4 linked regions of the Pelodiscus sinensis genome follow. The protein of the gene in region 3 binds, or shares a complex with, the protein of the main gene of each other region. Links are inferred from orthologs where the notes say so. Each region holds a gene or a part of one and is shown on either strand. Other genes may lie near its edges. The genes, in order: KBTBD2, KLHL22, CUL3 and KLHL25.

Region 1 (8,013 bases), on a different chromosome or scaffold from region 3:
ATTGAGTCCTGAAACCTGAAGACACCAGGTAGATTCTGATACTGAAGGAGGACATGGAGTTCCAAAGACTTAATGATGGAATTGAGACGACACATGAGCAAGAGTCTCTGAAATATTATACACACAACTTTTAAGACATTCTTGGACTAGGGATGTGAACTAGTTGACACTCTTTCGACCAGAAAGAGGTAGTGGGGGAGACGGGAAAGAGGAGGGGGGTGCTTCAAAGTGGCAGCACCGCATGGAGCCCAGAGCCAACAAGGAGTTCCCAGCTAGCCCTGGGCTGCACGCAGAATTTCCAAGTGGCAGCACGGTGAAGAGCCTGGAATCAGCAAGGAACTACCCTACTGACCCCAGGCTCCATGCAGTGCTGCTGCTTTGAAATGCCACAGGGAGCACAGGGCCAACAGGGTAATGCTTGCTACACTTCAAAGACAGAGGTGCCCTTATTGACTAACCGAATAGTTGATCCAAACTGCATCAACTAGTCAATTGGCCGATTAATCTAAATTTAGTATCCCTAGCTTGGACATTACACAGTGGTTGCCAATTTCTTCACTGTCTTTTGCTCCTCTGCATGGAGAAAAAGATATTAGGAGGAAGTATACCTTCACAAACATGAAAACAAGAGAAAACTGCCAGCTTAGTGTAGAGATGCGAATGGGCACCTGGTTAACCATACCAGGTGATGCTTACCGAGTAACGGTTAACCAATGCCCTGGGAGCAGCCCCCTGCCTGCTCCATCCCCACCATGCTCCCAGCCAGCACCCACGCCATCAGCTGGGGGCTGCTCCAACCAGGCTGGAGTGGTTCCCCTCCCGGGATCCCACTTAGTCAATTAACTGGTTGAACGTCAGGTTAATCTAACATACAAAACAGGCCAAAAAAAAAAATCACATCAAGAGGAGACTTTCCATCACCAAAAGACATCAGAGACAGCAGAGGGCAGGGAGGGGGTAGGGGAAGCTGCCATGAAGCATCCTGTGACGCATCCTCTGCCCACAGCAGGCCAAGGCTTGTTGCAGGCAGAGGCTGCTCTGGCAGCAGCCTGGGCTACCTGACCCAGTGTGAGCTGGGACGGAGCAGTCCAGGCTTTTGCTAGCTCCAGAAGCTACCCCCACTGCTGCTGTGCAGAAGTCTCCCCTTATCGACTAATTGTGTAGTCGATAAAAATTGTATTGCCAAATACCCACTCCTTAACACCCTTATTTTAAATAATGAGCTCCAAACTACTTAACTACAGCATTCTTGTGAGCATCTTTGCCCTTATATCCTCCCACCCTTAATGAAGTTTGGACAGGAATAGCTTTATTTAGTCTCCAGTTGAGTCTTCCTATGTGGATTTCTGAATTAAAGAGACCAAGCAAAATTTTAAACATGTTTTTGGGCTTTCATTAATATCATGAAGCAGCAAAAAAGTAAACAGGTCTTTTTTTTTGGGGGGGGGGGAGATGAGGGAGCTTTGCAGGTCCCCTTATACAAATACAAGAATTAGCAGAACTCGGGTAGTGTTATAAATCATAACCTAGTTTCATTTTTTCCAAAAGTAACTAGTACAGGTGTCCAATCATTTTCTGGTGAGCTGAAGGAAAAATCTCGGAAGCAAAATGTGATGCACGATGAACAACAACTAACGCACATCTTGTGCTAGGCATATTACATGTTTAAGCTGTGTCCCCACGTCAGAAAAGGCCGCAGTATTTTAACCCCCAAAGTCCAGCTAAAGCTGAAGCCGGGAACAAGTAATCCCTCAAGTTCTCCTCGACACTTACAAACACTGAGGGAGCCGAGGCGTCACCGCCAGCAGCAGTACGGTGCCCAGCTACAATGCGATGCAACGCCGGGATCACTTGGAGACGAGAGCAGCGCCATTACCTCCAAGCGCCCTTCGCCCCAAGGGTCTAGAGCCGCTTCACAGCCAAGAAGCCCTAAAATCAACGTCCCAGCCCTTCCCCAGCCTCTCCGGAGAATGGGTGTCAAGCGCCCGGCCCCAGCCCGCGCCCGGCCCGTGACGACGCTGGGTTACAACAGGCACCGCAGAGCCCGCGCGTTCGCTCCTTGGGAGCCTCCATCTCGCCAGCGCCCGGCAGGACCCCGAGGGGCCGCGGCGGCAGGACAAGGGGAAGGCACGCGAAGGCCAGACACAGGCGCGCGCGCCTCCCCCGGGCCCCGCCGCGCAGCCTCCCTGTTATTGTCTGACCGCTCGGGCGCCCCTCGCAGCCGCAGCGTCGGGCGGGGACACCCCGAGCCTCCCTCCCGGGGGCCGCACCCAGTCACAGGCCGCTCGGCAGCGGCGCGGGGCCCTGCCGGCCAGGGAGCATCAGCGGGGAGGGAGAGGAGCGGGCCTGGGCAGAGGCAGGAGGTGACTCCCCGGCACCCGCTCAGGCTGCCCAGGCCGCAGCGGAGCGGGCGCTGCCCGAGGGCGGAGGGAGCTCGGTGCGGCGCGATGGCAGGTCCGCAGCCTCCCTCCCTCCCGGGGGTAGGGGGGGGGGAACAAACGCAGCCACCGAGTCCCGCCGTCTGCCCGAGCAAACCTCCGGCCGCCGCTTCCTCTTCAGCCTCAGCGCCTGCGGGGAAGGATCCGGTCAAACCCGGGCTGCGGACGGAGACGGTCGCGCGCGCGTTCGTTCGTTCGTTCTGTTCTCACCCGCCTCCCTCAACGTCCGTTCAGCTCGGCGGCGCGCCCCCCCGCCATCATGCGCGCGCGAGCTCGGATGTGGGCGGCAAAGGAGCTGCGCTCCCGCTAGCCCGCCCTCCTCGCGCACTTCCGTCCCTCGTGCAGAAGAGCAATCGAACCCCTCCCCTCGCTCGCTCGCTCATCTCGTCTCGCGCATGCGCTGTTTTTCGCGCGTTGGCCCGGGGCCTGCGGAAACCCGACTGTTTTGGGAGACTGCGCAGAAGCAGGAAGTTGGTTTTGCGAGGGTTGCGGGCAGGGCGGTCACGAGTGCGCCTGCGCTCCAATCAAACCGGCGGGCAGGGCAGGCGTGAGAGAGAGAGAGGGAGCCCCCTAGCGGCAGGCGGCGCCCATCTCAGCCCGACACGTTGAGGTGCGCGCTGATTCCCGCCCTCGCCCACCGCAGGAGCTCAGTGCCCCGCCCCCACTTTCCCCGCCTGCGCGTCTCTGCGCTGCAGCGCGCCAGGCTGCTCGTCCCGCGGGCGCAGATGGTGCTGTGGGGCAAGCGGGAAACCCCCGCCCACCCGTGTGGCCCGGGACTGAGGCGCTCCTGGGAGCTGGGATTTGAAACCATCGGAGTATTCAAAACAATAATAAATGTGCCGCGCTGCGTGTGCGTTTGCCTTGCCCTTCCCCCAGGCTTTGTCCCTCCCAGCTTGCCGCCGCCCGGCCGAGCTGGAGAAGCAGAGGGGGAGGCTTGTATCATCACTGGCCTCCAGGAGCTGGGGCCTTGAAAAACATGGACAGGCTTGGGATGAAAAGCGGGGGCAACAGGGCCGCTAAGGGAGAGGGAGCGATCGAGGAGAATGATATGGTGGCTCCTGCCCCTGCAGAGCTCAAACTATGGGGCTGCTGTAGGAGAAACAGGCAATCCCAACAGTGCCAGCAGACAAGCGAAAACGTTTAAGAGAAATAGAAATGTAGCCCTGTTAGTCTGGTGTAGCTGAAACAAAATACTGGACTATGTAGCACTTTAAAGACTAACAAGATGGTTTATTAGATGATGAGCTTTCGTAGGCCAGACCCACTTCCTCAGATCAAATACATTTGATCTGTAACATTTGTATTTGATCTGAGGAAGTGGGTCTGGCCCACGAAAGCTCATCATCTAATAAACCATCTTGTTAGTCTTTAAAGTGCTACATAGTCTGGTATTTTATTTAAGAGAAAGTTCCTTAGTTAGGCTATGTCTACACTTCAGTGCTATTTAATTGCATAGCATATTTTGAGCTAAGAATGCAGTGTACATGCACCCTGAGGGTACCTCTATACTACACACTTATTTTGAAATAAGCTATTCCAGATTAATAGTTATTCTGAAATAGCTTATTTCAAAATAGCATGTCCACACTACAAGGAAGCCTCAAAATTAGTCCTAATGTTGATGCGCTATCTCGATTTACAGCCCCAGGAAGCACTGGGGAGAAATTACTTAGAATGGCCCTGGTGATGAGCTATTTTGAAATAGCAGCGGTGGAGTCCATACTGCAGCTATTTCGAAATAGTTATTTTGAAAGAGGAATTATTCCTCATACAATGAGGTTTACATAAATTGGAATAAGCTGCCTGTTATTTTGAAATTATTTGGAAATAATGGGATTGCTGTGTAGATGCTCACATTGTTATTTTGGAATAATGGTGTAGTGCACCGTTATAGACAGAGACTCCTGTTTATCCACATCTCTCTTTTCATGGTAGTCAGTCTTTCCCACCTCACAATCACGTTTTAATTTTCCTCTCACTGCCACTGCCACAAAGCGTAAGTGCTCTATGCTTCATTGAGAAGATGTCTCAAGTAGTGAAGTGATAAAATTCCCACAAATTTTATACAGTCACAGCAGGATTTGGATGCCAGTCATTTTCTATCATTCATTTTCATACATTTCAAGTGCTGAAGTATATTTTTTTGGAGCAGACACTTCTTTCTTAAGTAGGTGGAAGGTGAATTTCAACTGTTCATATTTCCTTGTGTTGACATACAAACACTTAATCTCTTTCTTTTGTTAGTATTAACAGTAACCAATAAAATTAGGCACAAACATTTTTGTGCTTTCTAAGGATTTTTTTCAAAAAGAGATTCTGTTTTGAACTATAACTTTAAGTGTAGGATAGATCATATTTTGTTTTGACCTGCTATTTACATCCCAATTGTTTTACATATTGAATATAAAGAGAATGGAAATGTTTGCAGGATTTGGGGTACTGTTATCTTGAGTCTTCTGCCCAGGGGTTGGGACACTTGCTGCTCTTCCTGCCCCCTCCATTGGTTACAACTCCCACTGATTGATAGAAAAGGTCCCTGCATCACTGTTAAATGAGCCACAGATGGTGAAGGGAGTGGACAGTGGTAGTTGTGTTCCATAAACAAGGTGAGAGGAAGGTGTGGCTAGTCTCTTGCTGGGCTCTAAGCAGCAGCATGGACCTTAGTTTTGGAAGGGCTTTCATCGGGGAAAATAGCTTACCTTTATAGGGCTTGCTTTCTTCAAAGCAAATCCTTTTGGGTGTGTGGTTTAGAAGAGTGCGTGCAATAAGGGAAGTGTGTAGGTTCATGGTGGCTAGTTAAAATCTGTTTTGGGACTGTGTACTAGATGGAACTGGGAGTGACAAGGACTCTCTCTGCTCTGAGTGTTTTTCTTTCTCCTGAGGAGTGAACTGTGTACAAAACTGTAACAGGTTGTTCAATTTTTGTCAATTACTTTTTTGAAGTCTCTAGTTCAGTAAATGTATGCCTGCTTCACTTCATACCAGCTAGTGCTAACTATCTTTCTTTCTAGTCCCCCTTTACCACTTTGAAGTTAACTGACCAGTAGGGTGCTTCTTGTGCAGGTTATTTAGAGGCACCTGGTGGCATGTAATTTATAATAAAGCTTAACTCTGCTTATATAGAAAATCTAGCTGAGGCTTTGTTTTGGCCTTCAGTGTCAGTTTTAACTGAATATAGAGATAGATGCTTGTTGGGGGGTCTCTCTCTTTAGTTTAAAACAAATCTAAAGATGAACTCTGTGCATAAAGACAATCTTGCTTTTTGTCATGTGGCTATCTGGTGAAACAAATGACAGCTGAATGCTGAACTTTGCTTGATAGTAAAACTTGTTTTACTTTCTAGCTACTACTATGGCCTTTGTAGCTTCTCCCCTAATGGTGATAGAAATGAAAGCAAGTAAAAATCTTCAGGATAGAGTGAGGTGTACTAGTATGGGACTATATATGTTTGTTTTTTAATATAGATACTTTAATCTGTTCATTGCAATACTGTGACTTGTTTAGAAGGATGTGCTAGTTAGTAGTCTTTAAAGTGGCTAATTCTGATAACTTTTTGCCATTTCAGCTTAAAAATGAACACTGCGCCAGCTTCAGAAAATGGGCCATATTCCACAAACCACACAAGACCCTTTTTTTATGCACAGCCAACAGCACAACAACCTTTCCCAAATCCATGGTATCTCAGTAATGTGTATAATCCATACTGCGTTCCTGCACCTGGTAAGGCAAGATTGAGCTGACTGAGGACAATGTGTTTGAGTTACTGCCTGAGTTAATGAAATCCCTGTTTCATAGTGAAGCTTTCTTCACCTGTTGTGTAACTCTTGTATTTCCCCTAATATGGAGGCTAGAATTAGTGTATGAAGTAAAAGTGTCTTTCTTACAATGTGTTCCTATCTATTTGTTCAGCTATATTATAAACTAGTGTTTGTTGTCTGTTCTGTTCATGAATGGGGCAACACCAAATGAACTGAACAAGTTTCCTAGGAAGAATCTTGTAAATGGAAGCCGGCAGTTTCAGCAACTGGCAATAATAGCAAACCCCATTTGAATCAGGGACCCCTACTATATTATTTGTCTATGAGGAATATAGAGTAAAATCACCTTGGCAAACATCCATCGAGACAGAAAACCTAAGTGAAAACTGAACTTCAGTATAGTCATGACTCTGATACCTTAATGGCTACTGAGGGAGTACCCTTCTGTAATAATTGCCTATTCTTATTTACAGGCAGTCCCCGGGTTACGTACAAAATAGGGACTGTAGGTTTGTTCTTAAGTTGAATCTGTATGTAAGTCGGAACTGGCGTCCAGATTCAGCTGCTGCTGAAACTGACCGCCAGTTCTGACTTACATACAGAATCAACTTAAGAACCCCAAGCGTCCCCAAGTCAGCTGCTGCTGAAACTGATCAGCAGCTGATTCCAGGAAGCCCGGGGCAGAGCAACTCTGCCTCGGGCTTCCTGTAGTCAGCGCTGGTCAGTTTCAGCAGCGGCTAAATCAGGACGCCTGGGGCAGAGCAGATGGGGTGCTGCTAGGTTGGTCCAGTAGCGCCCAGAGCGGCGCTGCGGGACCAACCGGCAGCACCCCAGCTGCTCTGCCACAGGCATCCGGAGAAAAGCCTAGTCTGCTGGGGGGGGGGGAGGCCTACTAGCTGTGCCCCCCCCCCCCACCTCAGCAGACCAGGAAGACGCGGGCGGCAGACCGAGACGCACCGCGGTCCCGCCGCCTGGGTTCTCCGCGGCTTTGCTCCCCGTCTCCCTGGTCTGCTGGAGACCAGCAGACCAGGGAGACGGGGAGCAAAGCCTCTGAGGGGGACAGCCGCGGGGTGTCTGGGCTGTCCCGCTGCCGGCTTCCCCCGCGGCTTTGCAAAGCCTTGGGGAAGCCGGCAGCGGAGCAGCCCAGGCGCGCCTGGGCTGCCTTGCTGCCCGAGCCCCCCCTCCCCTGCGGCTTTGCAAATCCGCGGGGGGGGCTCGGGCAGCGAGGCAACCCAGGCGCGCCTGGGCTGCCCTGCTGCCGGCTTCCCCGAGGCTTTGCAAAGCCGCGGGGGGGGGGGGGCTCGGGCAGCCCAGGCATGCCTGGGCTGCCCCGCTGCCCGAGCCCCTCCGCGGCTTTGCTCCGCGTCTTCCTGGTCTGCAGACAAGGGAGACACGGAGCAGCTTTTCTCGCCCGGAGTTCACGGGCGGCGGCACCGCGAGGTCCCGCAGTCCATGTACTCCGGGGCAGCCCCGTTCGTAACTGCGGATCCAACGTAAGTCGGATCCGCGTAAGTCAGGGACTGCCTGTACTGTGCTTGGGGGAATGGGCATTGATGAACAGACTGACCTGCCAAGGTCATAGGGAAAGTGTGGTAGAGCTGAAATGAAACTGTTAGTGAACTTCCAGACTCCAAACATGAAACTGGTTGGAGACACTTCTCCTACTGTCGTATTTGCTAAAAGGCTTCATGTCAGAGCCTGAAGTGTCAGAGATTAAGTGCAGAAAAATGTCACAGTAGCCATAAACAATGCTCAAGATGTTTAGCTAAAAACTAATACCTATTCTCTCTTGGGTGCTAGGATAATATGAGTTTCAA
Region 2 (6,883 bases), on a different chromosome or scaffold from region 3:
ATTTCCTTCAGGTGCTTTTAACATCTATCGTCCATTTAAATTGAAAACTGAAAACGGAAAGACCCAAAGGACATTCTAACAATTCAGAAACATTCCTAGGGAGCAACAATCAACGGTATTTTTATAGTTCAGGTTCCATGTACTTTTCAAAATGAAATTCTAGTTATGCAAGTTCCAGTTGATTTAAACACAATGGCTACATCTAGACTGGCATGATTTTCCGGAAATGCTTTTAACGGAAAAGTTTTCCGTTAAAAGCATTTTCGGAAGAGAGCGTCTAGATTGGCACAGACGCTTTTCCGCAAAAGCATTTTTTGCGGAAAAGCGTCCGTGGGCAATCTAGATGCGCTTTTTCACAAAAAAGCCCCGATCGCCATTTTCGCGATTGGGGCTTTTTTGCGGAAAACAAATCTCAGCTGTCTACACTGGCCCTTTTGCGCAGAAGTTTTGCGCAAAAGGGACTTTTGCCCGAACGGGAGCAGCATAGTATTTCCGCAAAAAGCACTGATTTCTTACAGTAGAAAGTCAGTGCTTTTGCAGAAATTAAAGCAGCCAGTATAGACAGCTGGCAAGTTTTTCTGGAAAAGCGGCTGATTTTCCAGAAAAACTGGCCAGTCTAGACACAGCCAATCAGGATGAAATTTAAAGACATTTTAAAGTGTAATGAGCAACAAGCCCAGTCTCAATAGACTCCCCCACTCCCATACTCTGCCACAAAGGATATTGTTTCAAATGTTCTGAGACAAGCAGCCATACATGTTGCACCTTGATAATGTTATAAGTATGAGCATCCACATGCATATTACAAAATGGAAGCCATACAAAGCTTTCAGAGCTATAGCTGTAGGCAGATAGCATGTTAATAGATTTGTAATTATAATACATAAAAATATGAAAAAGGAAACGAAAATACATTCCCTGGCAGGCAAGTTGGAAGTAAAGAGTGATAATCTGGTAATGGGATTTTTCTGACGCAAATAAGACACTGTAGAATTAATCTTTGAGGAAGCAGAGGGGGAAAATGTCACACTTAAAAGCATATTTCATAAGGAAAATGTCAACCAAATTGCTCTGACTTTGCTGGTCATTCACTTAAAAGCAACAGCAGCATATTTAGGAGTAAGGCACCTGTGGATAGGACCAGTCACTGTAGAAACTTCGAACAATAGAATTATAGGTAATGGGTGAGGTTTTGACAAGAAATTAAGGGATTTGTGCATAGCTTCCTTAGTCTCCTTTGAAAATCACAGAGAATATCTAATGTCCCAATTCTTCATACACACATGCTTATTGTTACACATGCAAATTAGTCACACTGAGCTTAATGTGTTTTCATGCCTGTGGTTTTAGATTATTAAAACTGAAAGACATTAGAAAGAAAACCTATATTTTTTTTTCTTTGTGCATAGGACACCATTGTCTGCATTGTCATTTTCACTGTTTCCATTCCCCAGTAAGCATGTCAGTCAGTTTTTCCTTTGCTAGAGACTCAAGGGGTCAGGAAACAACATCATGATTCCAAAAATGGGAGAAGAGAGGGACAAAGTAAATGGTTGGCAAAGTCAGAGAACAGAGGAAGTTGTGAGAGAAAAAGTGAAGCAAAGATATCTGTTTGGGAACATTCTGCAGGGCTTTATGTGGATTATGTAGGTGAAGCAGACAAAGAACTTTAATAGGATGCTGTAAAAAGAACAGATTTCAAAAGATGTAACTAGTAGTGTTATGTCTAACAGAGTAGAAATAGAAATCCAGACAGGAGATGATTACATTAAGACTAGCATGACTCAAGCAATGCATTCACACAAGTATTCATGCATGCTGAATTAACATGCAATTAAATTATTTTAATTTAATACACACCAGCAAGTGAATTATTCCATACGTATTAACTAGCAAGTCAGTATGCTTTACGAACTGTGTGTACTCAGGTCATTTTAATCCATTGGCACAAACTAAAATTAATGTGTAATAAGCCTCTGCTGCAGAGAAGCTCTTAAATATGTAGATCACCTCAGTCCCAATAAATCTACTCTAATAACTGCATGTTAATAAAGTGCATGGCTGCTTATTTCAGGATGTTCTGAAATAAGCAGCCAAGCACTGTGAAAATATGGTGGGTTTCCAGAGTCAATGGACAGATAGTTTCGTCATGGGGAGATTTCTGTGACTCTCTGCACCCCCTCTTTACAAATCAGTTACGGGCACTCTTCTCTTCTGGGGGGGGAGAAGGGGCTGTGGGGCTGGCAGGCAGGCGCCTTTGCACCGCACCGCCCTTGGTGTGGGGACTGCCACCCACAAGTCTCTGCTCCGCTGGCTGGCAGCCCGCTGCGGGCGAAGAGCCTGGGTGCATGGGGTCTATTTGAAAACCATGGGAAGGTGGGCAGGCGAAGCCCGCCCACGTTCTAAAAGCCCCTCCCCAGCCTTACAGGAGGGACAACTGGACCCATGTCCAACTGATTACAGGGGACAACTGATGACGAAAGGATCAAGGGGTGCGGGTCACAGATTCAAACTAAGGGAACCAAATGGGGACATTGAGCAGAGAACTCCGGACAGCGCCCACTACTCCTCAAAGCTATCGAGGGAGCCAGTGGACGCCGCCCAAAGGAACTCTGCCCGGATACGTGACACAAGGGAGGAACGGAAATAGGCCCCACAGTCGCAGAGAACCCCCACGTCTAACATCTTACTCCTGGTATTATATATAGCGGCTTTTGCTAGGGCCAGGAGGAGGTTGACGAGGAGGTCTCGCAACTTTGTGGGGCCACGGATAGGGTGTGCATAAATGAAAAGGTGAGGGGAAAAGTGCAGCCAGAACCTCCATCAGAGGTTCTGGAGGAGCCGGAACAGGGGCTGCAGCCTGGCGCATTTGAGATATGTGTGCACCAGGTTTTCCCTCACGCCGCAGAAAGGGCAGGTGTCTGGGATGGGGGTGAACCGCGCCAAGTACACGCCCGGGCTCACGGCTCCGTGAAGAAGCCGCCAACTGATGTCTCCGATGGGCCGCGGGATTAAGGTAGAATACACACTGGCCCATCGGGATCCCCCACCCTCAACGGATCTTAGATAGTCCTGCCACTTGGTATCGGGGCGGGACACGAGGGTGGGGAAATGCAGAGTGTGCAGCACGAATGTGTACAGCTGTTCCCTAGGCGCGGTCCGAAAACAGACCGGCTACAGATTTTGCAGCCGGCTGGGAGTCCAGGGGTGGAGATGCTGGGGGGGGGGGGGGGGCGCGGAACAGGGGCCCAATAAAAGGGGCGGAGGCTTTGCAGGAGGGACGGGGCATACCCTCTCGCAGGGACCGCTGCAGAAGGTTGAGAGCGGGCCGCCACAAAGCCGCCTCCACCTCCTGGAGTATGCGCAGGGGGGGTTCAGAGGGTGGAAAGCCCCATGCACCGAGCGAGCACTCAGGGCTCCACCCCGTCCCCCCTGTCGTAGTCCAGGAGGTCTCTGACCATGGTGGTTTCTGCCAGGCTCAGTCTCCGGCGCACCGTGGGAGACCCCACACCTGCACGCACAAGGCGGGATTGTGGAGCAGGGGCTCCGTGAGGAGGTCTGCTCCCTGGGCGGCCACAACGGACCAGGTGGCCGGCCAGCGCTTCCAGGTCGGGAGGCGTTCCTGGTAGAATTCCGGGGGCTCGGAGCGGCCTCGCGGGTGGATAAAGGGAGCTGCCGGCATACGGGGCGCTGCGGAGGGAGGCGCTCCAAGGCGCTCCCTGCCGGACCATGCACCGGGTCCCCGCAGGGCCTGGGGGCGGAAGGGCTGGACCCGGCTGTGCACAGACCAGGCCCTGGCCCCTCCTGCAGGGGGCGCCGCACCCGCCCCACACGCGTTCGAAAGACACGACACGCGCCAGGGGGGCGGGTCCCTTTAAGTGGGGGGGGGGGAGCGCGCGCTCCGTTCGGTCACGTGGGAAGGGCGCTCTGGCCCGACTCGATGGTGCGGGCGAACCCGGAAGCGGGCGGCGGGCGCTGGGGCAGGCGGAGGCTCGGGGTCGCCGCTGCCGGCAGGTGAGCGCAGCGCTGCGGGGGGAGGGGCGCCCCCCCCCCCCCGGGATAACGGCGCCCCGCCCCCCCAGTGCTGGCCCCGCGAGTGACTGACAGGCCCGGTGCCGCCCCCCCCCGCGGCGGGAGAGCGGCCGGCCCCGCTGGGGGGGGGGGCTGCAGGGGAGGAGCCGCTTCCCGCCGGTTCTGCCCCCCCCCCCCCCCCGCTTTACACGCGCCCCCGCGGCCGCAGGCGGGTTCGGGCCCCGCGTTAAAGGGGCGAGTCAGCGGGCTCCTTGCGGAACAACCAAAAAGAAAGAAAGTCAGGCCGGGCCCCCAGCGCGCCGCCGGGCATGGCCGGGTTAGGCTCCCACAGCAGGCACCAGGAGGCGTCTGGCCGCGCCTGAGGCTGTGGTGAGACGCGGCTCGCTCCCTCAGCCGCCTGCAGGGGAAAGAAACGGCAGGAGGCAGGTCTGGGAGGGTGGCAGCAGCGCCAGTTACATCCGCGTGCATGTGGCTCCTCTCCAGCAGCCACGAGATGGTACCTCCAGGGGAAAGTGCGTATGGTAATGTGAGAACTGCTCCCGGTTTCTATTTAAACCTCTTCTCAAGGGGTGTGAAAAACTAACAGAGGCCGTGCTCCCCAGGGCCTCTCAAAGCAGTCATGGAATAGGTTTGCAAACGGCGTGGTACCGCCACTGAGCGGACCCGCTTGTTCAGTGCGGTAAGAGTTAAAATGCTGCGAGGGAATCAGCACACGCAAACTTTGGCTATTTCTGTGGTCTCAGAACTCATCTTGCTGTAACTGGTGGCTGTGAGGTTCTGAACATTTCTACTGGTGATGGCAGAAGATCAGGAGCTGACTCAGACATGCAAGACTCCCTGGGAGACCTCCCTCCAGCAATGCAGCAGCCACACGTACCGCAGTGCACAGCATTCCCAGTCCTTACTCAGCGGCTTGGTCTCCCTCCGAGATAGTGGCATCCTGTTTGATGTAGTCCTGGTAGTGGAAGGGAAACCCATTGAAGCTCATCGGATACTTCTGGCTGCATCGTGTGACTATTTCAGGTATGTGCCATGTCACTGGTTAATCTTTAACCAGCATCTTTCTCCATGACTCAAACCTTCTGAATCCTGGCTGGACTTCTGTCTTTTCGCCCTTGGGACTCCCCATGCTTCCCCAAGTCTGGAGTAAGGTCACACTGGTCCAAAACACACACTCCCAGATTTCAGCTCTGATCACATCTAGAGCAAATCGGTTTCTTTGTACTCAAAGAGTAAAACAACGCCTAGTTGTTCAGTCCATAAAGCCTGACATAACAGCCATTATCATTCCAAACAGGGATTGCATGGGTCTTCCTTAGGGACCCCGTCCACTCAGCTGTGGGTAGGTTGCAATTGAACGATGTAAGTCACTCCTTTCTCCTCCTAGCAGCTCAGAGTATGCCTACGCTGCATAATATAACTGTGTCTGGGCACCTCTGCCTGTGAGGCTGTGTTTGTCCATCTTGCTGATACGCGTATGCGCTGTAGTGTTATGCATGCCCATGCCTTGTCTATACCATCCGTGCATTGACAAATTTCACATCTCTGGAAGCTGGGGTTGCTTGAGGTGAGTAGGGGCTTGGGAATTAGAAAAACCAGCACACACAGGCCCCAGAAATTGTGGGACAGCTTTGATGGACTGTCTCAGCATGAACCTAGCTACGCAAACTCTTAGCTCTGTCTTCAACACAAAGTGGGAGGGTAGAAATATGGTACAGTGAGACAAGCTTATACCTGTATCCCTGGATGAGCCACCAAGCGCACGTGCTGAGAACATACAGGCACGTGCCTGAGGACTTTGTGGATGGGAGGCGGGATTGGTCTTCAACGTGTCAAAGTCTGTCAGACCTGCAATGTAGACACTTAATGGGCTTGTTCACCTCTGAACTCAGTGCATTCACTTCCCTATCACTCCAGCCCTCTCTGGATGAGAACGCAAGGGCATCTGAATCAATAAGTCCTTTGTAGCTTTAACGGCGAGGAGTCCTGTGGCACCTTATAGACTAAATGAAGTGCTGGAGAATAAGCTTTCATGGGCAAAGACCCACTTCGTCAGATGCAGGTAGTGGAAATTTCGTCTTTGCCCACAAAAGCTTATGCTCCAACACTTCAGTTAGTCTATAAAGTGCCACAGGACTCCTCGCCGCTTTTGCAGATTCAGACTAACACGGCGACCCCTCTTATACTTGTAGCATTAAAGCACTGTCACCAGGCTAGCACACTTCCACATATGTTTTAAACTTCTTTAAAACAAGGGCTTATAACATGAGCCCTAACATCTTTTAAAGACAACGACCCCGTTGTGGGATGCAGAAGTCTATATTGCTTTTATTCATTTTAATTCATTTAATGAGGGAGATTTTTATGCTTTCCAGGGTGCCCAGTGATGTATGAGGAAGCCATTTATAGGTTAAACTAATGCAAGGATGCACAAGGAGAATAGGTGTACAGCTGGTTATCCAAAGCTTGACTGCCTTCTGGATCTTCAGAACTAGCTGGCTGGTGTGTCTTCACTGCATTCTGAAAAGGCTCTGCTCTGGGTTTCCAGTTTGAAAACTGTACTGCCTGGCATAATTCCTGGAGAACTGGATTTGGCAACAGACATGGAGGCTTTGCAAAGCTGTCTGTCCAGTTGTCTGTCTGACTCTTTTGGGTGACCCCAGAACAGTATGGCTAAGATGGGTTGAACTGTACATAGCTTTGGCACGTCTCCAGTGTCGTCTGTATCTTTTTCTTTCTACAGAGGCATGTTTGCTGGTGGGCTAAGAGAGATGGGACAGGAGGAGGTTCATATTCATGGAGTTTCCTACAATGCTATGTGTAAAATCCTGAGCTTCATTTACACCTCTGA
Region 3 (7,399 bases):
GATCAAACAGACCCCCTTGATATCAACAGAATTGTTGGAGTTGGGAGAAGTATGGAGGGATGAGGATTGGTCAATAAAACAGCAAAATAAAACTTACCTCATTGTGTCATTTTTTACTAATCATGTAGTGACTTCAAAGGAACTTTTGCTTGTCAGGACTGCAGGATGAGATTCTAAATGTGATACATTGAAAACAAGCTACTCCCCATCCTCCCCTTCTCTTGAGCATACAGGCTATTACACAGGTTTTGTTGTATTGATGGTGTTATACATATCCTCAATATATCACGCAAAATTTGTGCAAAGCCTAAAACAAGCATCAACACAGACTGATAATTGTATTTATGTAACTAAAAAGAAATATGACTTTTTGTTCTTTTAAATAAGAATCTCTTCCTTCCACCCTCACATAGGCAGCTGCCTTTCTGAGTTTCCTTTCAAATGTAAAAACTTGAAAAACAATGAATAGTCTAGCAGCACCTTAAAGACTAACAAAACATGTAGATGGTATCATGAGCTTTCATGGGTACAACACACTTCTTCAGATGAAATGTTGAATGTTATAGAATGAGACCATGCTAATACACTTTCTCGGATTTTTTATTATTCTGATGCAACCCCTCACTGTGTGGATAGCGCCAAAATTCAAGTTAAGATTCTTCAATTTAAGCTATGCAATTACCGTAGCTGAAATTGCGTATCTTAACTCGAACTTATCCCCTAGTGTGAACCAGGGGTATCTAGAGCAGGAATTTCTGGCCTTTGTACTCAGAGCTTGCACACGAGTGTGAACTGTGAAGGGGACTGGAGGCAAACAGAGGATAAAAGTAGTCACAGTAGATAAACTTGAGCCCCATTATGGAAGGCTATTTTTCCCAAAACAGTTATTACTTTCTTTATTGTAGGAATATTTGATGATGTATAAATAAGATAGCTGGCATTGACTAAGATGGGCGTTAGGGCTACTAGCCATTGATAAGTAAATCCTGCCCTTCTTCACACACTCATCTCCCCTTTGATGGACACCACTAGTTCTTACGAGCAATTCCAATGATCTCTTGTGTGAGCACAAGACCCTACATTAGCAAAACTGCTTTATTCCTCCTAGAGATGGGAGCAGAAATTAGAAGAGTTCTAATAGGGGAGTTCTGTGCAGCTACCTGTTACAGAGCTGGAATGCAGAGAGGAGTGAACAGCAAGTTTCATATGAGATCCACTGGGCTGCAAACCTGCATGGGAAGAACCTCAAGCAACAATCTCTACTTGTAATAATTTTACTAAGTAAGAACCAGCAGTATTATTGAGCCTTCTATGATACCAAATGATCATACATTGCAAAGTTAAAGAAGGTTTCTTAAGAGGGCCAACATGGTTGTAACTGAATTTTTAAACGATGATCCCTCCTCTAGTGACATAATCAACCATTTAACTGACCTGAGTGGACCTCCAAAAAAAAAAAAGAGTATTTATGAGAGCTTGGTACGCTTGGATAGTGAGGTTGCACTATGTAGGGTTGCCAGGTGTCCGGTATTGAACCGGACAGTCCAGTATTTTTGCCTCCTGTCTTGTAAAAAAAATTCAGAAAATGTCCAGTACATTCTGATTTTTTTCCCAGGTAGGAGGCGAAAATCCCATTCTGTCTGGCTCAATACGGAAGCAACCTGGCAACCTTAGTGCTTACCGGATTCCGCAGGGGAGCTGTCCGGCCTGGCACAGAAAGGCAAGATGGCGGGTGGCCACCGGCAGCCTGTTAGGGCCAAAAGGCCTCACCACGCGGTTTTTAAAGGGTCCCCGGGGATTTTTTTTTCTTTTGCTTAACAACTCTCAGGGTCCTTTTTTCTGGCGTGGGTTTTTTTTTTGGGGGGGGGGGGGAGGGGTTCTGGCAACACTAGCCCTATGCATAAGGGAACAGTATGAAAAAAGGACAAAAACAGTATTCGAACGTGTTGTGCTAGAGCAGGGGTGGGCAATAAGCATCCCACAGGCCTGATGAAGATTACCAGATGCTTTATTTATGTGCAGATATACAGGTAAATCATCTGGTGGCCCAACATGGGCTAACCCTAGCAAACTGTGTATGGTCTGCAGGCTGCTTACTGCGGGCTCTATGCTAGAGCTATCAGCAGTAATGCAGGTACCTGCAATCCAAACTGCAATTTAAGGTAGGCTCCTTCTCCCAACCATTTGAACTTCTTGGAAGCAAAACTTTTAATTTAGACTTAATTGGTTGGTTTACTAAGGTCTCAAATGAGGAAGATAACACTGAAATGTATGGACACTATTTCTTCATATTGGAAGTTAGAAGGAAAACTTTGCCTCTCCTACCACTTGACTTTTTGGCTGTTAATGAAAAGTGGTTTAAGAACTAGACATTCTTATTCTAGAAACTGTACTTTTCAGAAGGGTTGAATGGCACTGTACTTTAGTCATGCTGAAATCATTAGAACTTTTTTTTTCTGTGCTCCTGTTATATAATTTTTCCATTCAGTGTATACGTAATTCTGAACAGGAGATTAAAAACATACACAAGAGGCACTTACATTAGTTTTAATGCTAAGTATTTGTTTTTAAGATGAAGGGAACAAATAGGTAAAGAAACTCTTACAGAAGACAAACTAGCTCGCAGGATATTTGTGCCTGTGTATCCTTTGTGCCAATATTTTAAAGGCATTTCTAGGAAATTGCCGAATAGTGTGATGATTTTAGTGTACTAGACTGAAAAATGCCTGTGAAAAGAGGAATTATGCTGTTGCAGGTAAAGTACAGATTGGGAACTGAAACAGGAGTTCTGTTCCTGTCTGTGCCACAGACTTCCTATATGGGATCTTGGGCTAGTCACCTATGCCCAAACTTCAAGTGACTATTAACTTTTTGTTTTTGTTCTTGAGTGACCCACCTGAAGGTCAGATGTGCTGAGCAACTGACTCTGCCTTTGACTTGCAAAATATATTTACAACATTTGATACTTTATATAAACTGTCCTAATTTGAGAGTGACCTATATTTAGCCTCACTCTCACACAGGGATTGCCTCAGGTGGCATCCTCATTTCTCAAGCATATATTGTGATTACTAAATTTTAAAAAGAGAAAACAATAACTGCATTTCAACATGACTATGAGTCTCGGAAGGAGTACAACACCCATGAGTGCCATGACTCAGTGAGCCAAAATTAACAGCTGGGAAACTTCAGGTTGATAATGGAAAAGGGACAATATGTCTGTGCAGTTTTTTACTTGGCCTATCTTTTAAAGAGACTGTTTGCTTTTGCTCTCTCCACATAGATTTGAAAGGAGTTATGGGCCTATGTTTAAGGCTGCGTCTACATTTGACTTTGTTTCCTTCAGTTTGCCCATCACTGCTACCATTGGGTGTTCAGCTATTATTACCAAATTATCAGCATATGAATAACCATCTCAGCACAGGTCTAGCAACCTGATGGCTAAAAGCTTTGTGAATGCTGGCACCTACCTAATTTATGCTAACAACTGAGTCACTATTACCATTGAGGATAGCTATATAGACCAGTGCTTATTCTGATTTCTTTATTTAAAGGCTCCATGGTGACAGAGCCTTGGTCACATTCTCAACCTTTTCCCAGTCCTTTTTTAAAAAGAAGAGTTGTGAGTCTTTCATAGTCACTTGAGTCCAGGAGCTGTGACTTTAGAAAAACACCTATTGGCATGAAATAAAAGGGAAAGAGCTGGCAGGTGGCTAGCCTAGACAACACCATCCTAAGGTCTGGGCATGTTGTCCACATGTGGGGCTCTAGTTCTAGCTGGGCCTGCAATGAGTGGAAGTAGCACTAGGCCCAGAGTGCAGTGCGGATAGTCCCAAGCTACGTCTACCCAACAGTGTTACTTTGAAATAACTGACATTATTCCGAAATAACAAAGCGCACAGCTACGTTACAAGCCTTTATTTCGAAATAATGGCGGGCTGGAGGCCGTCTTATAGCGAGGGCTGTACCCCTCAGTCAGCAGGAGTAAGGAAGTGGAGGGATGAGAGCTCTTCCTTCCACTCCTGCGGTGGGGACAGCGCCAAAGCCCAGTTAAGCTATTTCCACTTAAGCTGGGCAGTTGAGGTGGCTGAAGTTGTGTAACTTAATTGGACTTTAGCCCTGCTCTGCACAGGTACCATGGAGACCACGCCCCCGAGGCCCCACAGCAGCTACTGCTGCTAAAGCCACCACTTTCCCCCAGGCCAGCCGTGGGACCCCCTCTGCGTTCACCCCACCCGACTGCGCTGCGCTCAGCCAATCAGCGGCTGCCTTTGCCCCAGCGCGCTTTCTCTTCCTGCCTTTGCCTCCCCCCGCCCCTTTGCAGCCGGTGACAGCTCCGAGCGAAGTCTCGCGAGAGCAAAGCAGCGGGGGGGCCCCCACCCCCTCGCCCGCCCTCCCCGCCGAGCTCCTCCCCGCGCCCCTCCTGCCGCCGCGGCCGGATCTGTCTGTGGGGTGGGGGGGCGCTTGGCCCTGCGCACTGAGCGATGTTTGTCCGCCATCGCGGCGGAGGAGGGTGAAGGAAACGCCGCCGCCGCCGGAGACAGGGGCCTGCGCCGCCGCCGCCCGGAACCTCCCGTCGCCGCCTCTCTCCTCCCCGCCCCGCCGCCCCCGGGGCCGCCGCTCGGAGTGAAGGTCGCCTGGGGCCCCCGCCCGGGGTCTCCCCGCAGTCCCCCCCCCCCCCCACCCCGCAGCAGGCTCCGCTCGAGCCGGGTCCGAAGATGTCGAACCTGAGCAAGGGGACGGGCAGCCGGAAGGACACCAAGATGCGGATCCGAGCCTTCCCCGTGAGTCCCCGGCCACCGGCTGCGCGCCAGGCCCCGGCCTCCGTCCGCCCGCAGGCCCCGCGGCCGCCCGGTCTGTCACCCGGCTGCCCGCGGGAGGCGGGCTGGGGAGCAGGGCTAGAAACTCCGGGCACGGGGTTGGGCTGGGGGCTGGCGGGCGGGGGACACGCTCCGTGCCCCCATCTGTTACCAGCACAATGAAACCTGTCACCGCGGCCGAGCGGGGGAGGAAGCACCGGCGCGGGGGGCGGCGGCGCGGGCCCTTGCTAGGGTCTGGGACCGGCACTGGGGGTGGCGTCGCCGGCGCGGGCACTGGCAGGCGGCTGGGTGAAGGGGAGGCAGTTTGGGCACTGACCGCGGTTTTGGGGGGATGGTTTACAGACACTGGGAACGGTGAGGGAACAGCTCGGGCACTTACTGTGGATCGGTACTGGGGAGGGTGCATTACAGCGAGTGGGGACCCTCCACAGCATGAAGCATGTGGAGGAACCCATACTGGTGGTAATTCTTCCCCCTCAGAAGCTGTGTGTTTATTATAGTCATATGTTCCGAAAATATATTTAATGCCATTTCCAATTAAAGGCTTTCAGACAAGAAGCTACAAATGCACATAAACAAAAAAAGGAGTCTTATAACTCTATCTCTAAGCTAGTTTTCCTGCATATGGGAGATTTTATTTTGCAGGTATTGTTGGTCAGATGGTAAAACGTCAGGTGACAGTGTAACTTTTCATAGGACTGCTAGGATATATCCAACTCTGAGATTGCCAGTCACTTTAGTTATTGAGCAAATAAGACAGATTATTAATTTACACTGCTGTAAAACTGCTGTGCTTTGACAGTTTCTTCAGTTGAAGCTTAGAACAAATGAATGTGAAGACTGCTGTTAATGGTTTCCAGTATTACAAGATGTGTGGAAACTTCAGTCATTTTTAGTGATTTCCTGCAAAAGTGTGTGTGTGTGTGTGTGTATATAATATGTATATAATAAAAAGGAAATGCTCTATTGAGTCACTAGCCTTTAGTATTTATCTTAACTTTTTGTTACACCTGACCCAGCTAGCCAGTGGCAAACAATTATAATAGGTTGCTTTCATGAATAAACTGGACATACCTGTTCACATCTGTTCACCAGCACATAATATCAGGGAAGACCTGCTTAGCCAAAGCTCTTACCAATGAAGTTGAAAACTTTAATACTTCTTTAAATTGTTGGAAGTTATCTGTAGGTATTTGATTCAGCTGGATAGCTTCCCTCTTAAACTCTACTTCTAGTCAACAATAATTATTTATGTTGAAGGAAAAAAAAGTGTACTGTGAAGTAAAAGACTAGAAAGTTTTAAGTCAGGGTGGGTATCCAGTACATGGTTTGTTAGGGTTAGGTGCTGGTGGACTGCCAGATGCTTCGTTTACCTGAGTGTCCGCAGGCATAGAGCCCCCTGGCCCACTCCCAGTGGCGGCTGTTCCTGCTGTTCGCATTGGCAAGGAATAGTGAACTGCTGCCACTGGGAGCTGCCGGGCTTCATGACTGTGGATGCTCAGGTAAACAAAGCATCTGGCAACCTTCCAGTGGCTAACCCTGATGCACCTCATGTGGCCCAAAGGCTGGAGGTTCACCACCCCTGTTTTAAGTGGTGTGTGGCTGGTGATCTCCAACAGACATTATTGATTGTTAATAATACTCTTGTTCACAGCATAAACCTCATATTATCAGAACATTTGGAGGGCGGTATAGCAAAAGAATAGCTGATAACTTGTGTACTATAGTGGATTATCATACACCATTTTTGTCATTGTTAATGTTTATCTGTTTTACAGCAAACTTCTTTTCTTATTAAATCTAAATTCTGGCAGTCTTTTAAATTTGGCTAATAGGATCCATGCAAAATCTCTTTACGTATGTAGATGATGGTAAACTAAGAAGGGTTAAACAATGACTAGAATAAGTATTATTTTGCTTTTTATTTTTTGAAAGTTCTTGTAACTAAGCATATAAAATGCGGTTCGTGGGTGAAGAATGTTCATGTGGAGCTCTGCTTTCATAAGTGCTGAGAATGCTTGATATTTTTTCACCCCTCAAAATGCTTCTTGTTAGCATTGTTTTAGTTTTCCCTTTTTTGGGTTGTTTAAAGAATGGATTACAACTATCTAATTTATCTAATTATCTTCCTTTAAAAAGTAACACTTTTAAGTATATATTGACATCAAGGCCTCCAAATGCCAAATAGAACCTAACATCTGTTTATAGTATTTTTTTTAAGTTTTGCGATTTTAAAATAAATGTCCTTTTTTGCAACCAAACACAGTAAAAAGTTCACAAAGGATTTTTAACTGAAAAAGGGCATGTTAATGAATGACAATTTTTCTCTCTCATAATTATTTGCATGATAGTAAAATCTTAAAAACTATCACTCTCTCCAAAACCTATAAACATTTAGGCACGTGTGTAATTTGATTGGTTCATTTCAATGGACTCTTCATGAAGCTATATTTGTTTGCAAGACTGGGACCTGTATTTAGTATTTCCACCTTTTTTGGCTACTGTTTTCTCTTTTCACTTTCTCCAATTCTGATGCATTGTTCTGAGTTTTGAATTGTTGATGTTGCTAGTGTTATGTC
Region 4 (7,486 bases), on a different chromosome or scaffold from region 3:
AATCAGCTTTATGTTTAATTAGCTATGATTAAGTTGTTTATAAACAAATGTGTTGCAATGGTAGAAAAAAATGTATGTCTCTAAAAACTGTAGGTATTGAGGGTACTTATAATTTTTTAAAGGGGTACTTTATAAAAAAAAAGGTTGAGAAACACTGCTCTAGATCACTGGAAGGTGCTTGTTTTAAACTATGGAATGGTTATAGCCATCTCAAGCAGCGTCCCATTCTTCCCTTAGTGATGAACTGCTCTTGTTTTCCTCTTCAATTGAGTCCTTAGAAAATCCTCCGTAGGGCAAGAGATGGATTGTTTTTCCATTTGGTTCCTCCCATTGCTGCCCTCCTCACTGTCTCCTGTACTGTCAGGTGCCCCCAGGTGCAGCTCTCTCTGTCAGATTCACTCCAGCAGTTTGCTTCACTGTCAGGCTTTCTGCTTCTCTGTGTGCTTGTGTTGTGCCCATCACCACACTGCCTAGGCCTGCTGCCTGCTGTCCTCATGCTCCCTTCATTACCACTAAAGATATAAACAGGTTCCTCCCCATCACGATAAGGAGTCTATCGGTTTTCAGGGCTATTACTCCTGTTCTGTAGCCCCATCCTCTCAGGACTCCACATTGACAGCTGCTATGAATCACTCCTCCCCATTCTCTCAGTTACAAAAGGATGGATGTCAGTCTGGGTTCACACACAGCTTGAGGAGATAAGGACTTTGCCAGCTAGAGTAGGCAGCAGTTGGAAATTGCGCTGAGAATTAACAATTACTACATTACATTCCTTGATGGTTCTTTTATAGTCTGGAGCAGCTGGACAAGACTCAATTGCAAAGGGAAATATCAGTTTCATTTTGTCTTTAAATGTTGCATTGTGCCATTGTTAAACAGATGTTTTCTGGGTGCAACAGCAGTCACCCTGCTCGAGATTCTGCTTGAGATCCACAGCAGCTCATTAACCTAATTAACAGGGTATTTCACCCATTGGAACACACAGACCTCTGAAGCAGCAGCTTTTCTGGGAAATGACAGAGTTTTAGTTAATTTCACCAATCTTGTATAGCCTGGGCAAACGCAGGGAGCAAGGATTTAAAACAGTTTGGCTACGTCTATAGTGCAAGCCTCTTTCGAAATAGAGCATCTAGACTACAATGCAGCAAGCCGCTTTTTTGAAAGAGATCACCCAGGCAGTTTGGATGCTCTCTTTCGAAAAAGCAGTTTGCATTACATAGCGCCTTTTTTCAAAAGAGCACTTTCCAAAAAAGGCATTATTCCTCGTAAAACGAGGTTTTCCGTGGTTAAAAAAACTGCCGCGTTCTTTCAATTTACTTTCACGCACACCCTTTGATGGGCTATAGCTGTTATTTATTGCACATAGTCCCTTCTAACTGTAGCTACATGTTATCCCATTTCTACCCAGGAGGAAATATGGGACTGTATTTTATCATATAGCTTTTTATTGGGGTGTTGCTTCAATTAATCCTCTTATCAGTCATCTCTTCCTCTTCCCACTCTCTTCAGAATGGGCCCTGCAGGCAGTATCTTTTTGCGACACACCAGGGGTACGTCTAAACTACATGCCTCCGTCGACGGAGGCATGTAGATTAGCCAGATCGGAAGAGGGAAATGAAGCCGCGATTAAAATAATCGCGGCTTCATTTAAATTTAAATGGCTGCCCCGCTCTGCCGATCAGCTGTTTGTCGGCAGATTGGGGCAGTCTGGACGCGACGCGCCGACAAAGAAGCCTTTCTTGATCGGCACAGGTAAACCTGGTTTCACGAGGCATACCTGTGCCGATCAAGAAAGGCTTCTTTGTCGGCGCGTCGCGTCCAGACTGCCCCGATCTGCCGACAAACAGCTGATTGGCAGAGCGGGGCAGCCATTTAAATTTAAATGAAGCCGCAATTATTTTAATCGCGGCTTCATTTCCCTCTGCCGATCTGGCTAATCTACATGCCTCCGTCGACGGAGGCATGTAGTTTAGACACACCCCAGCAAAAAACAGGGACAAGCAGAGGCATAAGTAACTATGACAGGAAACTCTCAGGGCATGTCTACACTGCCACCCTAGTTCAAACTAGGGTGGCTAATGTAGGCATTCGAACTTGCAAATGAAGCCCGGGATTTAAATATCCCAGGCTTTATTTGCATGTTCCTGGGCGCCGCCATTTTGAAATGCCCCATAGTTCGAACTCCTTGCCAGCAGCTACATGCAGCACGGACTAGGTAGTTCAAATTAAAGCTCCTAACTAGAACTACCGTTGCTCCTCATTGCAGGAGCGATCACATTGCGGAGCAATCACACCTCACGTGCATTTTTGCACAAAAATATCGAAAGAGCAGAGGGATTTTTCCAGTGTAGGTATTCCTCTTACTATGAAGAATACTCCTTTTTGTGCAAGAACTCTTGAGCAAAAAAGTGTGTGTGGATGGGAAACGGGGTTTTTTGCACAAAAAGAGGCAATCGAAAAAAGCACAGGTGCCCTGGTGGCCATTCTGTAAATAGCAATCTGAGTTTCCTTTAGAGAGAGCATCCTTGGAGTCTGGATGCTCTCTTGCCAAAAGCGCATCACTTTTTCAATGCACTTTTGCAGTGTGGATGCGCTCTTCTGCAAGAAGCCTGTAGTGTGGATATAGCCTGAGACAGGAATAGAGCCCAGCATCCCAGGCCTATTTTTGAAGCAGATGTGGCCCTCTAAATTTCGAAAGTGAAACCACCTCGGGGTACAGGATCTTTAGAAAAAGGGAGTTTTTTTGAAAGACCAGTGTCAGATGGCAGTTTCACTTTCGAAATAGACTTTTCGAAAGAACGCTGTGATGCAATTATGCAAATGAAGCGTGTGATATTTAAATCTCCACTTCATTTGCACTTTGGATCTGACTAATTTACATCCCACTTTTGAAAGAGGGATGTAGTTTAGACATAGCTTTTATGTCCATGCACCAGCCTCTTCTTATCTCTCTTCTGCGCCTCTGCATCCTCCAGAGACGCTCTAGTTCAGGAATGGGGCCCCTTGAGGTTTGGGGTTCCATTCAACTGCAGCAGGGTGAGCTGGCACTCCACCCACCCAGCAAGTCTATGAGCCTCAGTGCCCCCCTGCACGGCTGGAATGCCAAAACTAGCTCCCCAATGTAGTCAGGGGGAGTCTCAAGCCTTCTGGGTTGGAACAAGGCACAGCTGCATCTGGCCCACAGGCTCTGCCTGATGAGTGGGAGGAAGCAGCTCAGCATCGCAGTGCAGGGAAGCTCTGTCCCTGCGCTTGCTTGCAGGCTCCACCCCCATCAAGCCCACTGACCGGGAATATTCCTGCAAGTGTAGGTGGTACACAGCCACATGTGCCCCTGCCCCCTCCTGCACAGACCTCTGCACCTTCACTCCCAGACCCCTTCTGCACACTAAATCCTTCATTTTAGGCCCCACCCCAAAGCTTGGGGGGAGGTCTCACAGAATCTACTATCCTCTGGACCTAGGGGAAAATCCTGAGCTTTGGCTCTCCCTTTCCTCCCTCTCCCCCCAGTGGAGTTGGAATGAAGTATCTTTTCTGCATGGTCAGTGAGGGTATTTTTCTCCTTCTCACTGGGGGACCAGGTCTGTGAGGATTTCCTCCCTCCTCCTCCCCCCCCCCCCCCACTTTTCACTTTCATGTGGCTCCAAACTGGTTTTTCTGTAGGTCAGTGGCCTTCCACACAAAAAAGGGTCCTCGCCCCTGCTCTAGCTAAGTTCAAAGTGACAAAGCCTGCCAGCCTGACCTATTAGCACAACATGGAACCTGTGAAAGAGCCATTCAAGTGGCAAGGAAGCCATTTAACAAGCATTGGCCAAGGCCAGGGATATCCGGCCAGTTTCTGAATTTACTGTGTTAATGGACAGGCCCTTCGTTTAACATTTTTTAAAAAAAATATTTCTTTCTTGTGTGGCTGAAGGTTATAAAATCACAGCTCTTAAACTGTTGTCCCGTCCCCAACGGGCTGTCGGGCATAGGGAGACCAGTTGAATAGCCCTGCCTAGGGCCCCAGAATTCCTAAGGCTGTGATGGAGGCAGCACAGGGGGCTGATGGAGAGTGTTACAACAGGTGCAATCGCAGAAGGGGCTGCAGAGCCTGATGAAAGCGCTGCCCAGCACTGAGAAAGCCGGAGGAAGGAGGCGGGGGGGGGGTTAACAGGTCAGACTCAGGCGCGCTGGCAGAGCTGCGCTGGAGGACAAGCTGGAATTAGGAAGCGCTGAAGTCCAGCTGCTCTTGCACCATATGCTAAAGCTCCCTCGGCTGCCCGTGCTGTGTCCGCTGGCCTCGCACCTTCAAGGCTGTTTCAAAGGCTCCTCTACCTTTAAGAATCACGGGGGAGGGAGGGGTTAGGGTCCAGCTGCTTCAGCCCCACCCTATTCCTTAACTCCGCCCGTCACCAGTTTCCTCTAATCCAATTGGTGGATTCCGCTGTCACTCACCCTCTCTCTTCTACGAGTCGCACCTATGGCCGACGCTCCTATCTGTCACAATACAGGGCGGCGCTGATTGGTCGCCCTCTCTCTCTCTGCTGGATGATGTCTCCTCCTCCAGCTGGGAAAGTAGTTCTTGTCAAGCCTCTGGTTACATTGTATCCAGTGAGTGAAAGTTACCTGGGGAGGCGGAATGGGCCCGAGCCCGGCGGAGGAGCGAGCGTGACCTGGGGACACGCTCGGAGCCCTGGAGCAGATTCCTGACCTGTGAGTATCTGTGCAGACCCGGCTCCCCCGAGTGGCAGCGAAGCAGCATGATGCGTGCGGAGAGAGGTGAACACAGGCTCCTGGCTCTTGGAGCGAGTTCCCAGCGCCTGGGATAGCGCAGGACAGGGAGCAACAAACTGTGCAGTTGCTAACCATGTCATTTGCAGAGTGCTTCGGAAAGGGGGAGTGGGAAATCAGCGAGGCAGATCTCAGCTAGGAAGGAGGGGAGAGAATGGGGCAGTCCTCCATATATTGGATGCCGCGTGTGGTTGATGGCAAAGTGACACTTGAGGGAAGGGGAGGATGGTTTGCTAGCTTTTTCTCGTAATCAGTAAGTCATTTAAAGAGGCTTTGAGAAAGAAGTAGCTGCAGTTAATGCAGAAAGCCAGAGAGAGATTAGTTGATATCTTTTCCCTCTTTCAGGAGTGTTTGGAAAAGCTTGGAAGAACACTTCCAAGGGGAGGAAGGGTGAGTAGGCTGGTGTTTTTTATTGAGCATCGATGGAGATTTATTTTACAAATTGGAGTTTAAGGTTGGGGGGAGGTTTAGGAAGAAAAATCCGTTTGCTCTGACTTAACCCTCGTGCTCAAGATGCGCTATAATAACTGCTCAGTGTACTACAAATATTTGTGTCTGAGCACCTGAATAGTCAGACGTTGTCTGTCAAGTCCAGATCGTCACTGTTTAATCATTCTCTCTTACAAGTTTATTAAAATGTGCAGCGAGAAGTTGGAAAGACTCAACAATATGGTGTCAGACAATTAGGTGATAGTGTGAACCCAGCATGTTGTCGGGATAACTGGGTGCATTGTTCTCATAATCCTGGAGCTCTGTACAGTTTGTATACACTTAGAATGTTAGCAGTGAAATATTTAACAAATGCTTGGGGCACTGGGCTTTTTTTAAACAAAGTGACTGTTCACACCTAGAATACAGTGTTTATTCATTTTTTGTTTGCCTCTAAATATTTCTCTGGATCCTTCTCCAGTGATCTTCCTGATAAAATAATGAACTGCAGAAATAGCAGCAGCAACACAATTCTGAAAGTTTGCAATTTTGTGTAAATGGTTGATTCAAATGGACTGATTGTTATGTCCTGTTCTGTTATGACAGCGTCTGCCATGTCACATTGCCCTTCCTTGGGTCTCTCTAGGAATTAAACAGTTACAGCTCTATTTTTCATAAGCCCATTAATACTGTTTGAGTTCAGACTTCTTTACACCAAAGAAAACAGCTTCATACAATCACTCCTTTCAGGAGGAGCCATCTGATCGTCAGGGATACCTCTCCATATGGAGACAGCCCGCTTGTTTAATCTCTCTTCTTCCTTTGCTGTGGTCTCCTTTCGAAATAACAAGCAGAGCATCCACACTACCAAGCCCGTTACTTCGAAATAATGGGCTGGTTATTTTGATATAATAACTCCTGCTTTCCACAAGGAATAACGCTAATATCAAAATAGTTACAGTAGAGTCTCGATTATCCAACCTAAACGGGACCAAAGGATGGTCGGATAATCGAAATGTCGGATAATACGGAAAATACCTTGCGGGGGTCCAAGGTATTTTCCCCGTCAGCTGCCACTTTGCAGACGCTTGGCTGCTTTATGGGGAGTCGCGCTGCCCCCGACCTCCCCTGTCTCCCCCAGCCAGTTGCGCTGCCCCCGACCTCCCTTATCTCTCCCAGCTTGTCATGCTGCCCCTAGTCCGTCTGTAAAGCACCAAGCACAGTGTTATGCAAATAATAATATGGAACCCCTGCAAATGCTAGTGATTTCCATTCTATTGGTGGTATCTTCAGGGCAGGCACAAAGTATGATGAGGGGACATGTGGGAGAATCTTGTACTGACTATTTGTAGAGCTTTGTGTGGATACAAAATTTCCATCCATATCCGCATCTGCAAAAGTGATCAACGGATATCCACATATGTGGATGTCTATACCTGCAGATATAAAGTGGATAGCCATAAATTTGTCCTATATACAAAATTTGTATCCACGTTCATATTGGTAAAAATAAGCTATGGATATCTGCGAATTTGCAGGTCTCTACCTATTCTCCTTGCCCCTCTAATTTTCCCTTTCCAACTCATGTTAACCCATCCTGGTCTCTTTTCTCCAGAATCTGGCTCCTGTTGATATAGGAACATTTTGTTCTTCTTCAGGTGATATCCCCATGGATGCTCCTCTGTTGGTGTTGAGTGGTCCCCGGAGCCGCAGATCAGAATTTTTCTTAGCAGTTGACGGTTGGGCAGCTCACACACAAAAGGTGCCTCACACCACTTGACCATTAGGTGCCTCCTGTGACAGCCCTGATTCTCTTCCCCTCCGCTCCCCTCAGTTCCTCTTCAACTGCCCTCGGCCACAGACGGACTTCTAACCTCTCTCGCCTCCTTCATTTTCTCTCTTCACAGATCTTTGCTACTTAATTACCTTCTACCCCGGGCTATTTCCCTTAATTGATCAGTTTTTACAACTTCAAAGTAAAAACAGCAAGTGAAAGAACAGGCTGTCCCAGCCTCAGTTCTCATGGACCACCGCAGAGGCGGCAGCTTTAATCTCTCAGTTTCTCCGTCACACTCTTGGACGTAGTTCCAAAAAAAAAAAAAAAAAAAGAAACCAACAACAACAAACAAGGGATCGGGATCGGAGGGGAAAGGACAATAGGGCAGCCTGAGACCAAAAATCACTCTGCATGCCCCCCCTCCCCCAGTGAGCCCTTGCCAGCATCTGATGGGCATGCGGAGTGTATGAGATGCTTGGGGGGGGGGAAGCCAGAAAGGACCATGAAATG

The links.
Region 1: CUL3 (region 3) and KBTBD2 share a complex: the UniProt entries of both Homo sapiens proteins name them as parts of the BCR(KBTBD2) E3 ubiquitin ligase complex. The link is inferred for Pelodiscus sinensis from reciprocal best matches to the Homo sapiens genes CUL3 and KBTBD2.
Region 2: the proteins of CUL3 (region 3) and KLHL22 are in contact, whole or in part, in a cryo-EM structure (PDB 8K8T), measured with the Homo sapiens proteins. The link is inferred for Pelodiscus sinensis from reciprocal best matches to the Homo sapiens genes CUL3 and KLHL22. Residues at the interface, in NP_003581.1 of Homo sapiens: Thr14, Arg17, Ile18, Arg19, Ala20, Phe21, Pro22, Met23, Met25, Asn49, Ser50, Gly51, Leu52, Ser53, Phe54, Glu55, Tyr58, Tyr62, Leu66, Met118, Asp121, Ile122, Met124, Tyr125, Arg128, Val129, Gln133; in NP_116164.2 of Homo sapiens: Asp73, Tyr74, Arg76, Gly77, Met78, Gly81, Gly82, Leu83, Lys84, Glu85, Leu92, Ile93, His94, Leu117, Gln121, Val125, Cys128, Gln129, Gln131, Pro133, Trp146, Glu150, Asn151, Asp154, Val155, Arg157, Leu161, Phe162, Asp163, Ser165.
Region 4: CUL3 (region 3) and KLHL25 share a complex: the UniProt entries of both Homo sapiens proteins name them as parts of the BCR(KLHL25) E3 ubiquitin ligase complex. The link is inferred for Pelodiscus sinensis from reciprocal best matches to the Homo sapiens genes CUL3 and KLHL25.

Annotation. Positions count from the first base shown.
Region 1 is NC_134712.1:171,548,547-171,556,559, reverse strand, and holds the start of KBTBD2 (kelch repeat and BTB domain-containing protein 2), read right to left. Parts: upstream 3,005-8,013; 5' UTR 2,536-3,004; intron 2,503-2,535; exon of another isoform or gene 1,774-2,502; intron 1-1,773. Other genes in the region: uncharacterized protein LOC102448486, read left to right, coding at 6,011-6,158. UniProt on the Homo sapiens protein: Substrate-specific adapter of a BCR (BTB-CUL3-RBX1) E3 ubiquitin ligase complex that acts as a regulator of the insulin signaling pathway, modulating insulin sensitivity by limiting PIK3R1/p85alpha abundance in adipocytes.
Region 2 is NC_134725.1:6,512,891-6,519,773, reverse strand, and holds the start of KLHL22 (kelch-like protein 22), read left to right. Parts: upstream 1-3,875; 5' UTR 3,876-4,014; intron 4,015-4,377; exon of another isoform or gene 4,378-4,401; intron 4,402-4,775; 5' UTR 4,776-4,828; coding exon 4,829-5,055; intron 5,056-6,407; exon of another isoform or gene 6,408-6,534; intron 6,535-6,775; coding exon 6,776-6,883. UniProt on the Homo sapiens protein: Substrate-specific adapter of a BCR (BTB-CUL3-RBX1) E3 ubiquitin ligase complex required for chromosome alignment and localization of PLK1 at kinetochores.
Region 3 is NC_134720.1:16,974,698-16,982,096, reverse strand, and holds the start of CUL3 (cullin-3), read left to right. Parts: upstream 1-4,383; 5' UTR 4,384-4,718; coding exon 4,719-4,784; intron 4,785-7,399. UniProt on the Homo sapiens protein: Core component of multiple cullin-RING-based BCR (BTB-CUL3-RBX1) E3 ubiquitin-protein ligase complexes which mediate the ubiquitination and subsequent proteasomal degradation of target proteins.
Region 4 is NC_134724.1:13,993,953-14,001,438, reverse strand, and holds the start of KLHL25 (kelch-like protein 25), read left to right. Parts: upstream 1-4,472; 5' UTR 4,473-4,692; intron 4,693-5,115; 5' UTR 5,116-5,160; intron 5,161-7,486. UniProt on the Homo sapiens protein: Substrate-specific adapter of a BCR (BTB-CUL3-RBX1) E3 ubiquitin ligase complex involved in various processes, such as translation homeostasis and lipid synthesis.